3 linked regions of the Saccharomyces cerevisiae S288C genome follow. Changing the gene in region 1 together with any one later gene gives a genetic interaction. Each region holds a gene or a part of one and is shown on either strand. Other genes may lie near its edges.

What was found.
Region 2: mutations in HSL1 (region 1) and DEP1 together harm fitness more than expected from each alone (negative genetic interaction), as found in Saccharomyces cerevisiae (4 studies listed by BioGRID).
Region 3: mutations in HSL1 (region 1) and LST8 together harm fitness more than expected from each alone (negative genetic interaction), as found in Saccharomyces cerevisiae (4 studies listed by BioGRID).

The regions. Positions count from the first base shown.
Region 1 is NC_001143.9:247,062-250,819, reverse strand, and holds the start of HSL1 (protein kinase HSL1), read right to left. Parts: upstream 1,901-3,758; coding exon 1-1,900. Other genes in the region: YKL102C (uncharacterized protein), read left to right, coding at 2,453-2,758; metalloaminopeptidase APE1, read left to right, coding at 3,138-3,758.
Region 2 is NC_001133.9:127,467-130,987, reverse strand, and holds DEP1 (Rpd3L histone deacetylase complex subunit DEP1), read right to left. Parts: upstream 1,719-3,521; coding exon 501-1,718; downstream 1-500. Other genes in the region: cystathionine gamma-lyase CYS3, read right to left, coding at 1-189; SYN8 (syntaxin), read left to right, coding at 1,969-2,736; bifunctional N-glycosylase/AP lyase NTG1, read left to right, coding at 2,886-3,521. UniProt on the Saccharomyces cerevisiae protein: Component of the RPD3C(L) histone deacetylase complex (HDAC) responsible for the deacetylation of lysine residues on the N-terminal part of the core histones (H2A, H2B, H3 and H4).
Region 3 is NC_001146.8:618,169-621,636, forward strand, and holds LST8 (TOR complex subunit LST8), read left to right. Parts: upstream 1-1,898; coding exon 1,899-2,810; downstream 2,811-3,468. Other genes in the region: putative ubiquitin-protein ligase ASI3, read right to left, coding at 1-73; type II HSP40 co-chaperone SIS1, read right to left, coding at 339-1,397; mitochondrial 54S ribosomal protein bL27m MRP7, read right to left, coding at 3,145-3,468. UniProt on the Saccharomyces cerevisiae protein: Essential component of both TORC1 and TORC2. TORC1 regulates multiple cellular processes to control cell growth in response to environmental signals. Nutrient limitation and environmental stress signals cause inactivation of TORC1.

The sequences.
Region 1 (3,758 bases):
ACAATGAATATCTTGAAGGCGACTTCGGCAGTTGAGGTAGAGGCATCTCATTATCATGCACAGTTTCTCTAGAAGTTGAAGCGGACAATGATAATCTGGAATTCGATAAGCGTAGCGATCTTCTCGAACGTGATGAAATAGAGGTGTATGAGTTACGGAAAATCCTTGATGAAGAAGCATTGAATATGGGAATAGCGGGTGGTAATGTTACAGCTTCTGCTTCAGCCTTATCACTTTCAGGTTGACTGAGCGTATTGATACTAAATTGCGATTTTTGTGCCAATACAGGGGCATTAATTTCTGTATTAACCCCTGTAATTGCGTTGTTCTGATTCACTGTTGAAGTATCTTCTGAATGAATTTCTAGAGAATGTAAAGTCTTCACATCATTGTTCTCGCTCCTTAGGCCTGTATTATTGGCAGTTTTGGATGCGTATTCAATCCTAGGTTCATTTACGCTACTTTCTGTTGCTGATTTCTTGTTTTCGCTTGACGAGGACAATGATATTGAGTGACGTTGTTTATATTGTAATAACAGTGAGTAGAATAGTTTTTCCTCCGACATTGGCTTTTGAAGCAACTTGGCAGTGATTAGTTCACGAGAAACTCCATGCCACAAAATTTGCAAACTCCTCAAGATGGATTCATCAATTTCCCCTTTTGAATGTAAAGTTACAATAGAGGGCGAGACATTATTTAGCAAATGCAAATCCGAGTTAGATTTTCCCCTCGCCATGTTATCCTTTCTCATTTTCCTCAGCACTTTATTAACTGGGAGATCATCATATTTTTTGATCAGAGGATGCTTCAATATCTCTTGAGTGGTAATTCTTTTTTCTGGATCAATTACCAATATTTTTGATATCAAATCACGAGCCTCAGAAGATAAATTTGAGGGCATTTGATATTTGCCCGATTGAACTTTCAACAACAGCTTTTTGATGTTGTCATCATTAAATGGTAAATGACCGGTGAGTAATGCAAATAAAACGATACCGCAGGACCAGACATCGCTAGGACCGCCATGATATGGTCTACCCATAACAATTTCAGGAGACGCATAGTGTGGAGAGCCACATGAAGTTTTTAAAAGTTTATTAGGAAGCTCTAATGCTGCCATGCCGAAATCAGCAATTTTGATTCTCCTATTCTTTTTATCTAATAATAAATTTTCAGGCTTCAGATCACGATGGCATATATTAAAAGAATGACAATAGGAAACACCTTCAACTATCTGCTTGAAGTAATGGATAGCCTCCCTTTCAGGTAGCTTTCCCTTCGAGACCAGATAATCGAATAATTCGCCACCATCAACATATTCCAAAACTAGGTACAGCTCTGATTTGTTCTCCCAAACTTCAAACAATGCCATAACGTTTGTGTGAGATATCAATTTCATGATTACTATTTCTCTCTCTATGCCATATGGGTTCGTTTGAGAATGGTTACTATGTTCTCTAGATGCTATTGATGGAGAAGATACATTGGAAGTGACCATGGAAGAAGAGTAAGAATTAGGAACAGTTCCATTATTAGAACAATGAACAAAGGCTTTCTTCTTGGGGACAATTTTAATGGCAGCTAATTGTCCTGTTTCCATATTTTTAGCCAAGCGAACCCTACCAGAAGATCCCTTCCCCAATGTTTTGCCAAGTTTCCAAGGACCCACCGTGTCTCTGGATTTTCTCTTTGATGATTTTGTAGCAACACTTACGGTAGAGTCGGGCTGAGATAATCTTTTGGTAGCGTCGTTCACAGATTGTACAACACGCTCCAAATGCCCCGACGCCCTTTTTGGATTCGAATTTACTTTGGCCATGGCCCTTTTAGCTGCCTTCTTGGCCAATGAAGACGGGCGACCTTTGGGTACGTGGCTCGTTTTTGAAACGTGACCAGTCATGTCGTGTGGTAAAAATAAAAAATATTAATAACAAATAATAAAGGAGTGAATATAGTTGGTTGTTGATTTATTTATCAGTATTTTTTGTCCCGCAAATCTATGTCGTTCTTTTTACCTTGTCTTTCTTGTAATTTTATTATTTATCTCTTTTCGCGATTAGTAGCAAGTAGTATGATGGATATCCAACCTATTTGATGATCTATTTGAGTTCAACTCTCTGTTTTAATGGCCTCTCGCTGTCCAATTTACGTCCTTGCAGTCGGATAACTAGCGAACTTACGATCCAAAGGGAGTTTTAAGAAGAAACAGGTTTCGAGCAAAAGGTAACTTGCTTATATTAAGAACGCCAATAAGAGTGGCCACTATAATGCTGCTCCCAGCCGGTACAAGACGGTACGGTACGTGATGGAGATTAGTTTTCACTATTTAGCCCAAACAACCCAACGCGAAAATGACCACGCGAAAAGAAAAATTAGTAAAAATATTTCACAACGCGAAAAATAAGGACGAAGGCAACACATTCCACCTTCCCTGTTATTGTAAAACGCACAAATGTGTGCTTTATTCGCTGAGGTTTCATCGACAGCTGCAGCCAGTTGTTCATTCGGTGTTCTCTTGTGCAGCGGCTCAAATTGTGGCAGGCTTGTAGGCTCCGAACGCCGTAAGGTACTTTATGTTTTTAATGTCAACGTTTGCAAGAAAATGTCATCCTATTACTTTCTGAGGCATGATAACATTGTAATCCCTTATCTCTTGCGCTTGTTGGTATCAGATAAAGAAGCATCAAACAAGAACCCACTCCTTCCTTTTCTCATGGATAAAGAGAGGTCGCACCATTTCGTGAGGAATATGAATTAGTCAGCTTCTACTTTAGGGTATAGGTTGCAAACTTCCGTTTTTCTCAAGGTTTAATCAGAAGCATAATAGGTCTTCGGATGATTTCTTGTCTAATTCAAAAAAAAAATAATCTGGGATAGGTTTTTCGGGAAAAACAACTAGGGGTGATGCTGTTTTGCACCTCTATTACTGTAAGATAGGCTATGCAAGCAAACGACAGTAAGAAAGAATAGGGTTAAGTGAAATAGTTGACACACCCCTTAATCGTTCCATTAGATAATAAAAATTCATTTATAAGCAGTTGACTTCACAGAACAAGACATACACTGTATAGAGCCTGATCAGTAATCTTAGTGCAATTGTAGAAACCTGCACAACCAACAAAATTAAGAAAAAAAGAATGGAGGAACAACGTGAAATACTGGAACAATTGAAGAAAACTCTGCAGATGCTAACTGTAGAGCCATCTAAAAATAACCAAATCGCCAACGAAGAAAAGGAAAAGAAAGAAAATGAAAATTCGTGGTGCATCCTCGAGCACAATTATGAGGATATTGCACAGGAATTCATTGATTTCATTTACAAGAACCCTACCACTTACCATGTAGTATCATTTTTCGCGGAGCTGTTAGATAAGCATAACTTCAAATACTTGAGCGAGAAATCCAATTGGCAGGACTCCATTGGCGAAGATGGTGGGAAATTCTACACTATAAGAAATGGAACTAACCTATCTGCCTTTATCCTGGGCAAAAACTGGAGAGCCGAAAAGGGTGTCGGTGTCATTGGATCTCATGTGGACGCTTTGACGGTCAAATTGAAGCCCGTCTCCTTTAAAGACACAGCGGAAGGTTACGGAAGAATTGCTGTTGCTCCCTATGGAGGTACACTGAATGAATTGTGGCTAGACAGAGACCTAGGTATTGGTGGTCGCCTTCTTTACAAGAAGAAGGGCACTAACGAAATTAAAAGCGCCTTGGTTGATTCTACACCCCTACCTGTTTGTCGAATTCCTTCCTTG
Region 2 (3,521 bases), on another chromosome or scaffold:
TCTTTCCAAGTTCTCTCTGTTAGGATTTTGAGATCTGGAGTATTCGTAAGTACCGATAGGGTTAGCTGGAGAAGATTGTTTGAAAGTGGTGGACAAAGAAATGGGTTCGATCACGGAACCGTGAACGTCCACATGTTCACCGGCATGAATGGCCTTGGTAGCAAATTTATCAGATTCTTGTAGAGTCATATTTTTTTTGGTTTTGTCTTGTGTGTATATGTATAAGGTGCAAATGTCTATGTGTATAGGCCTCAATTGTACTTTCAAAATTCAATCTGGCACGGCACAAGTTCCATCTACCTGGCATCTTATGCTTTAAATAACTGAAATATTTTTTTCTTTTCTTTTCCTCGAGGATTTTTATGGAAAAAAAAGTGTGGCGCCACAACTGGCTGAGATCACGTGAATGGCTAATTATTAGTAATGAAGGGTGGAATTACATAGCGTTACAACATATTTAAGAATAACAAAAAGAAGTGGTATGGGGTCCAGTGTGGCGGTCACTGGGCCCACTGGTGGAAGTCGTCGTTGATTTCGGAGTCTCTAAGCGGGTTCAACTCAGGAGCACCCGGGAAGGAGTGGAAATATTTGCGCAGGCCTTCGAGGTCGCTAATCTCGTTATTGAGCCTCATTCGGTCCACAATGACTTCGAGTTTGTCCACCGGGTTGGCTCTGTAGCGGTACTCGATGCTTTCGCAAGCGAGGTCCTCTGCCACGGGCTCGCCGGGATAGCACAGCTGTGCTGCGCTGGCGTAGCCCGTGATACAGCTCAGCGTCTTGTTATCAAGTTTGATGGGGACGTGGTAATTGACATCTGGGATGACTATATCCATATCGCGGCGCTCCTTGTTGATATCGTACCAGGTCTGCGTGGTTCTGTTCAGCAGCCTGGCTCGCAGGTCGGTGACCTTCTTGTGGAAGTCCTGGTGAATGAATGTCCTGGTAGCGATTGTTTCTGTGTTGATGCATGAAAGCTCGTACTTCTGTCGCTGGTACGCTCGGTGTAGCTTGTAGTCACGGATCGCGGCAATCTTCGAGTAGTAGACCTGCAATTCCGGGTGTGACCCTTCCAGACACATCTGCAGCTCCGTTTGCAACCGCACCAATTGATTGTCATATAGTTTTTGGCGCAATTGCGCGAACTTGTACTCGATGTCGGTGATTTCCTTCAGCGCAGTCATCCTCTGTTCCTCCATTTCGATGGGGGAGGGCATCACCAGCGCAGGCGGTGCTGTATGCTCGTTTTCGTTTTCATTATCCTCCTCGTTGTTTTCCTCCTCATTATCACCTTCGTCCCCTTGCTCGTCCCTGGCGTCGGTGCTCTTCTCCTTGCTGTCAATTGCCTCTTCCAGTTCTTGACTCTTTTCCTCTTCCTTGCTTTCGTCCTCGTTCTCTCCCGGCACTTTCATCTTCTTGGCCTCATCTATCGCCTCTTTCTCATCTTCGTGTGGTCTTTTCAAGCTCTCGGTGAGCGTCTCTTGCTTCACCAGGCTGGATAGCTTGGGAGCGTATTTCAACTCCGGCAGATTGGCCAACGACTTCTCCTCGTCGCTATCCATCTTCTCTGTTCCTGCGTCACTGGATATACAGTATTCCGATAAATTCAAATTGTGATTCAAATCCGTATTGAAGTCAATGTTGCTCAACACGCTCTCTTGATCAAGGTCCTGTTCTTTCGCTGTGGTCTGTTCACTTTCCTGTGGTGTTTGCTGACTCATCTGCCACGATCGATGCGCCTCCTCTTGCTTCTGTGCTTCCTTCCCTTGTACTTTGCCGTTGCACTGTTATGAGTTTATTATTTCTAAAAATCATTTTATAAGAATAAAATTTCCCAGCACGACTTTGATCACCCGAAAGGGCAAAAACAAGTAAAGAACAAGAAATAAATGCTGAGACTTTACAATGGAAAACGAATAAAGCATAGAGACAGATCTCACGACAGCAAATAGATGCGTAAGCACACACGGTATGGATGTGTTGAAGCTGGGTTATGAACTGGACCAGCTCTCTGATCTGGTCGAAGAAAGAACAAGGCTAGTGTCGGTGTTGAAGCTCGCCCCGACCTCAAACGATAACGTTACTTTGAAACGGCAATTGGGCTCAATATTGGAGTTATTGCAGAAGTGTGCGCCCAATGATGAACTAATATCCCGATACAATACCATACTGGACAAAATTCCTGATACGGCGGTTGACAAGGAGTTGTATAGGTTCCAACAGCAGGTGGCAAGAAATACTGATGAGGTGTCCAAAGAGTCTTTGAAAAAAGTGCGGTTCAAGAATGATGACGAGCTTACGGTCATGTATAAGGATGACGATGAACAAGACGAGGAGTCGCCGCTGCCTTCGACGCATACTCCATACAAGGATGAACCATTGCAATCGCAGTTACAGTCACAGTCACAGCCACAGCCACCACAACCCATGGTTTCCAACCAAGAACTATTTATTAACCAGCAACAGCAGTTGTTAGAGCAAGATTCCCACTTGGGCGCACTGTCTCAGTCTATTGGGAGGACTCATGACATTTCGCTGGACCTTAATAATGAGATCGTTTCTCAGAACGACTCGCTGCTGGTTGATTTAGAAAACCTGATTGATAATAATGGTAGGAATTTGAACAGGGCCTCTCGGTCCATGCATGGCTTTAACAATTCTAGGTTCAAGGATAACGGCAACTGCGTGATTATTCTTGTGCTGATAGTGGTGCTCCTGTTGCTTCTATTAGTATTATAACATTATATTCTGTTTTTTAGGCTCGAATACGAAGTTTGGTTTTGATCTTTTTTTTTTTCTTTTTCTTTCACTTAGTAATAACCTCCTCTTTAATGATTCATCATATATTTGTATCTATATATACTTTATAGCCCAAAAAAAAAAAAAATATGCAAAAGATCAGTAAATACTCATCTATGGCAATTCTGAGGAAAAGACCGCTGGTAAAGACTGAAACTGGGCCAGAATCAGAACTCCTACCGGAGAAAAGGACCAAAATCAAACAAGAAGAGGTTGTCCCTCAACCCGTGGATATCGACTGGGTTAAATCGCTGCCAAATAAGCAGTACTTCGAATGGATTGTGGTTAGAAACGGCAATGTGCCCAACAGGTGGGCCACACCATTGGACCCCTCGATCCTTGTCACTCCGGCCTCGACGAAAGTCCCTTACAAGTTTCAAGAAACATACGCTAGAATGCGAGTACTGAGATCTAAGATTCTAGCCCCCGTCGATATAATTGGTGGATCATCCATTCCTGTAACGGTTGCCTCTAAGTGTGGTATCTCGAAAGAGCAGATATCACCGAGGGACTACAGATTACAGGTCCTTCTTGGGGTGATGCTATCATCGCAAACAAAAGATGAAGTTACCGCAATGGCAATGCTTAACATAATGCGGTATTGTATAGACGAACTGCACAGCGAAGAAGGTATGACATTAGAGGCCGTTTTACAAATCAATGAGACCAAATTAGACGAATTGATTCATTCAGTTGGGTTCCACACAAGGAAGGCCAAGTATATT
Region 3 (3,468 bases), on another chromosome or scaffold:
TGTTGTGAAAAAAGCTAAATACATCTCTGTTATGGAGCAATTGCTTAACATGTTGCAATATATTTGTAGACATCAGTCAAACTTTTGAAAATCCCTACGTAATGACTGTTCCTGACAAATTGTAGCCTCTCGGTGACCTTCTGTCAAGTCAACCATTCCTTACATACATCATTTATATGCCAGAGGGCAGGGTAATGCAGACATACAAAAACTTTAATTTACCGCGCACCGCACCGCGCAATTTAAGATTATTGAGTCAAAATTAATGATGTATATTATATGATTTCTGTGGTGATAAATTTATTTGAGTTTATAATTATATTTGCTTAGGATTACTATTAAAAATTTTCATCTATAGCACGTTTTTGAGCGTCGTTTAGTGATATTGGATAGTCCACTTTATATTTTACAATCAAATTACCTCTCTGAGATGGGTTCTTTGGAGTTGGCATACCTTGACCAGGATAAGTAGAAGTTTGTGAGGGTTGGACAGGCTGTACTCTCGACAAAGGTAAGGTTCTGCCATCAATTGTTTGGATAGTTTTTGAAAAACCTAACAATGATTCCTTGAAAGATAGTGGCAGAGTGTAAATTAGGTCATCACCGTCTCTTTTAAAGTTTGGATGGCTCTTTTCCTGGATGACAAACTGCAAAGTCTTTCTACGGCCCGTTTGAGGATTGTAATCACCCTGGTTCTTGTATGTTATTTTGGTACCAGCTTTCCAACCCGGTTTTAATTGAATGTCAATTTGTGTCTTTTCAGAGGCCCCATGTGGGCCCTTTCTTCCAATTTTAAATGACTTCTTTTTACCAACAAACAAATCTTCTAGACTAACTGGTAAATTAACTTGAACTGTTTCTTCCTCTGGATACGTGGGAGAGCTTGATGCTGATCTAAAGCCGCCAGGCATACCTCCCATGCCGCCATGCATTCCTCCCATTCCTCCAGGCATACCTCCCATACCAGCACCGCCGCCAGATGGATAACTAGAGAAACTGAAGCCACTGTCATCAGCACCACCGAATGGGGAACTGCCGCCAAAGAATTGTGAAAAAATATTGAAAGCATCCTCATTACTGAACGCATGTCCTCCGGAGAATCCGCCCGCACCGCCAGGGAAGCCTCCAGCACCTCCAGCACCGCCAGGACCACCAGGACCAAAGCTTGGACCACCAGATCTAGCAGCCTCGAGACCGTATTGATCATATATTTCCCTTTTTTGAGGATCATTTAAAATTTCAAAGGCCTCTGATATCTCCTTAAACTTTTCTGTGTCACCTGTTGGCTTATCTGGATGATATTTTAGAGCTGCTTTTCTATAACCCTTTTTCAGTTCTTGCTCATTAGCACTTGGAGATACTCCAAGTAAATCATAAAGTTTTGTCTCCTTGACCATTATTAGTTCTGTATACTATACTCTATTATATTGATGTGAATGTATTAAAAAAAAAATCTTAAAATGCAAACAACTTATCCTTTATCCTCTGAAGAGTTTCTGGATGGTTATACAATTCTAAGTCGTTAAAAGAATTCGTGTAAGAGCTTAAATAATATTAATTAGAATTTTTGACAAGAAAGCGCATAAGTTTAAAAAGGGATTAACAATACGGTAAAGGGACGAGAAATCTATACAATATATATTAAATCTCGAACTACCTTGGCAAGGAGTTTGTGCTGACAGTGGTTGAAAAACCCGTAAAAGGATATCCCATTCTTTTTCCAGAAGTTTCTGGAACGTTCATATAAACCAAAGAGGGTAACACAATACGTTAAGATTCAGAAAAGTAACGACTAGCTATTACTGATCATGTTATAGAAGAGTGCGACAACCATATATTATTAGCGCAGCGATCAACGTGGCAGTCTTGTCATCCATATAAAAAAGGAGTTCTGATTGATGTCTGTTATCTTAGTATCTGCTGGCTATGACCACACAATAAGATTTTGGGAGGCTCTTACTGGGGTTTGTTCAAGAACAATTCAGCATTCCGACTCACAGGTTAATCGCTTAGAAATCACCAACGATAAAAAGTTGTTGGCAACAGCAGGCCATCAAAACGTACGGCTTTATGACATTCGGACGACAAATCCCAATCCAGTAGCATCCTTTGAGGGTCATCGGGGAAACGTTACCTCCGTTTCTTTTCAACAGGACAACAGATGGATGGTGACCTCTAGCGAAGATGGGACCATTAAAGTTTGGGATGTGCGTTCTCCGTCCATTCCTAGAAATTACAAACATAACGCACCAGTAAATGAAGTCGTAATTCATCCTAACCAAGGCGAGTTGATATCTTGTGATAGAGATGGTAATATAAGAATTTGGGACTTAGGAGAAAATCAGTGTACCCATCAATTGACACCTGAGGACGATACCTCTCTCCAGTCTTTATCTATGGCAAGTGATGGTTCGATGTTAGCGGCAGCAAATACTAAAGGTAATTGTTACGTATGGGAAATGCCAAATCATACTGACGCATCCCATCTAAAACCGGTAACAAAATTCAGAGCGCACTCCACATATATAACTAGAATTCTACTATCATCTGATGTAAAACATTTGGCAACATGTTCAGCGGATCACACTGCTCGTGTGTGGTCGATTGATGATGATTTTAAGCTAGAAACGACATTGGATGGCCACCAAAGGTGGGTTTGGGATTGCGCATTTAGTGCTGACAGTGCGTATCTAGTAACGGCATCGTCCGATCATTACGTGAGATTATGGGATTTATCAACTAGAGAAATTGTCAGACAGTACGGTGGACACCACAAGGGAGCTGTATGTGTCGCATTAAACGATGTATAGTTTACAATTTATCAACTACCAAGCTTGAAGGACCGAAGTGACAAAAAACATTATGATTTTCAGTGTTTGCTTATCCGCCTTTTTGTAAATATAGATTTTACTATCCTGTGCATTTTAGTTAATTGATTGTTCACAAAATGAAAGCAATCGCGATGCATATCATCAATGAAAGGAAGACGAGAATGTACAGTATAAACATATTCCCTTGCATGTAGCACTAAATTTTAAGTTTCGTGTAGACGAAAGGTTTAGCTACTTGCGCGACAAAATAGTAATATTTACAGGCATTCTTAAACATTTTATATGTGTACATACTGTGCGTAAGGAAAGAAAATCAAAGCTTGCTCAAAAAAGCCCGCCTACTTCTAGCAATGACTTCAACTTTATTTTTGGTGTAATCAAAACGTCTAGACACAATTGACTTCTTCCCGCTTTTGGTTTCAACCGTACTATCTGTTTCGGGGAAGACCGACTTTAAGTATTTCCTACGCAAATGTACTTCTTCAGATAAAGTCAAAAAATTACAAGCGTCCTTGAAAAGCGCCTTAATATAATTCTTGTCTTTTTTGGTTTCTAAGTGTTGGGATTTTTCTAGGTCCTCTAATAGTTTTGCCTTCAAAGCTTGTTTTTCTTGTTCCGAAATATACTGGTGTAGCTC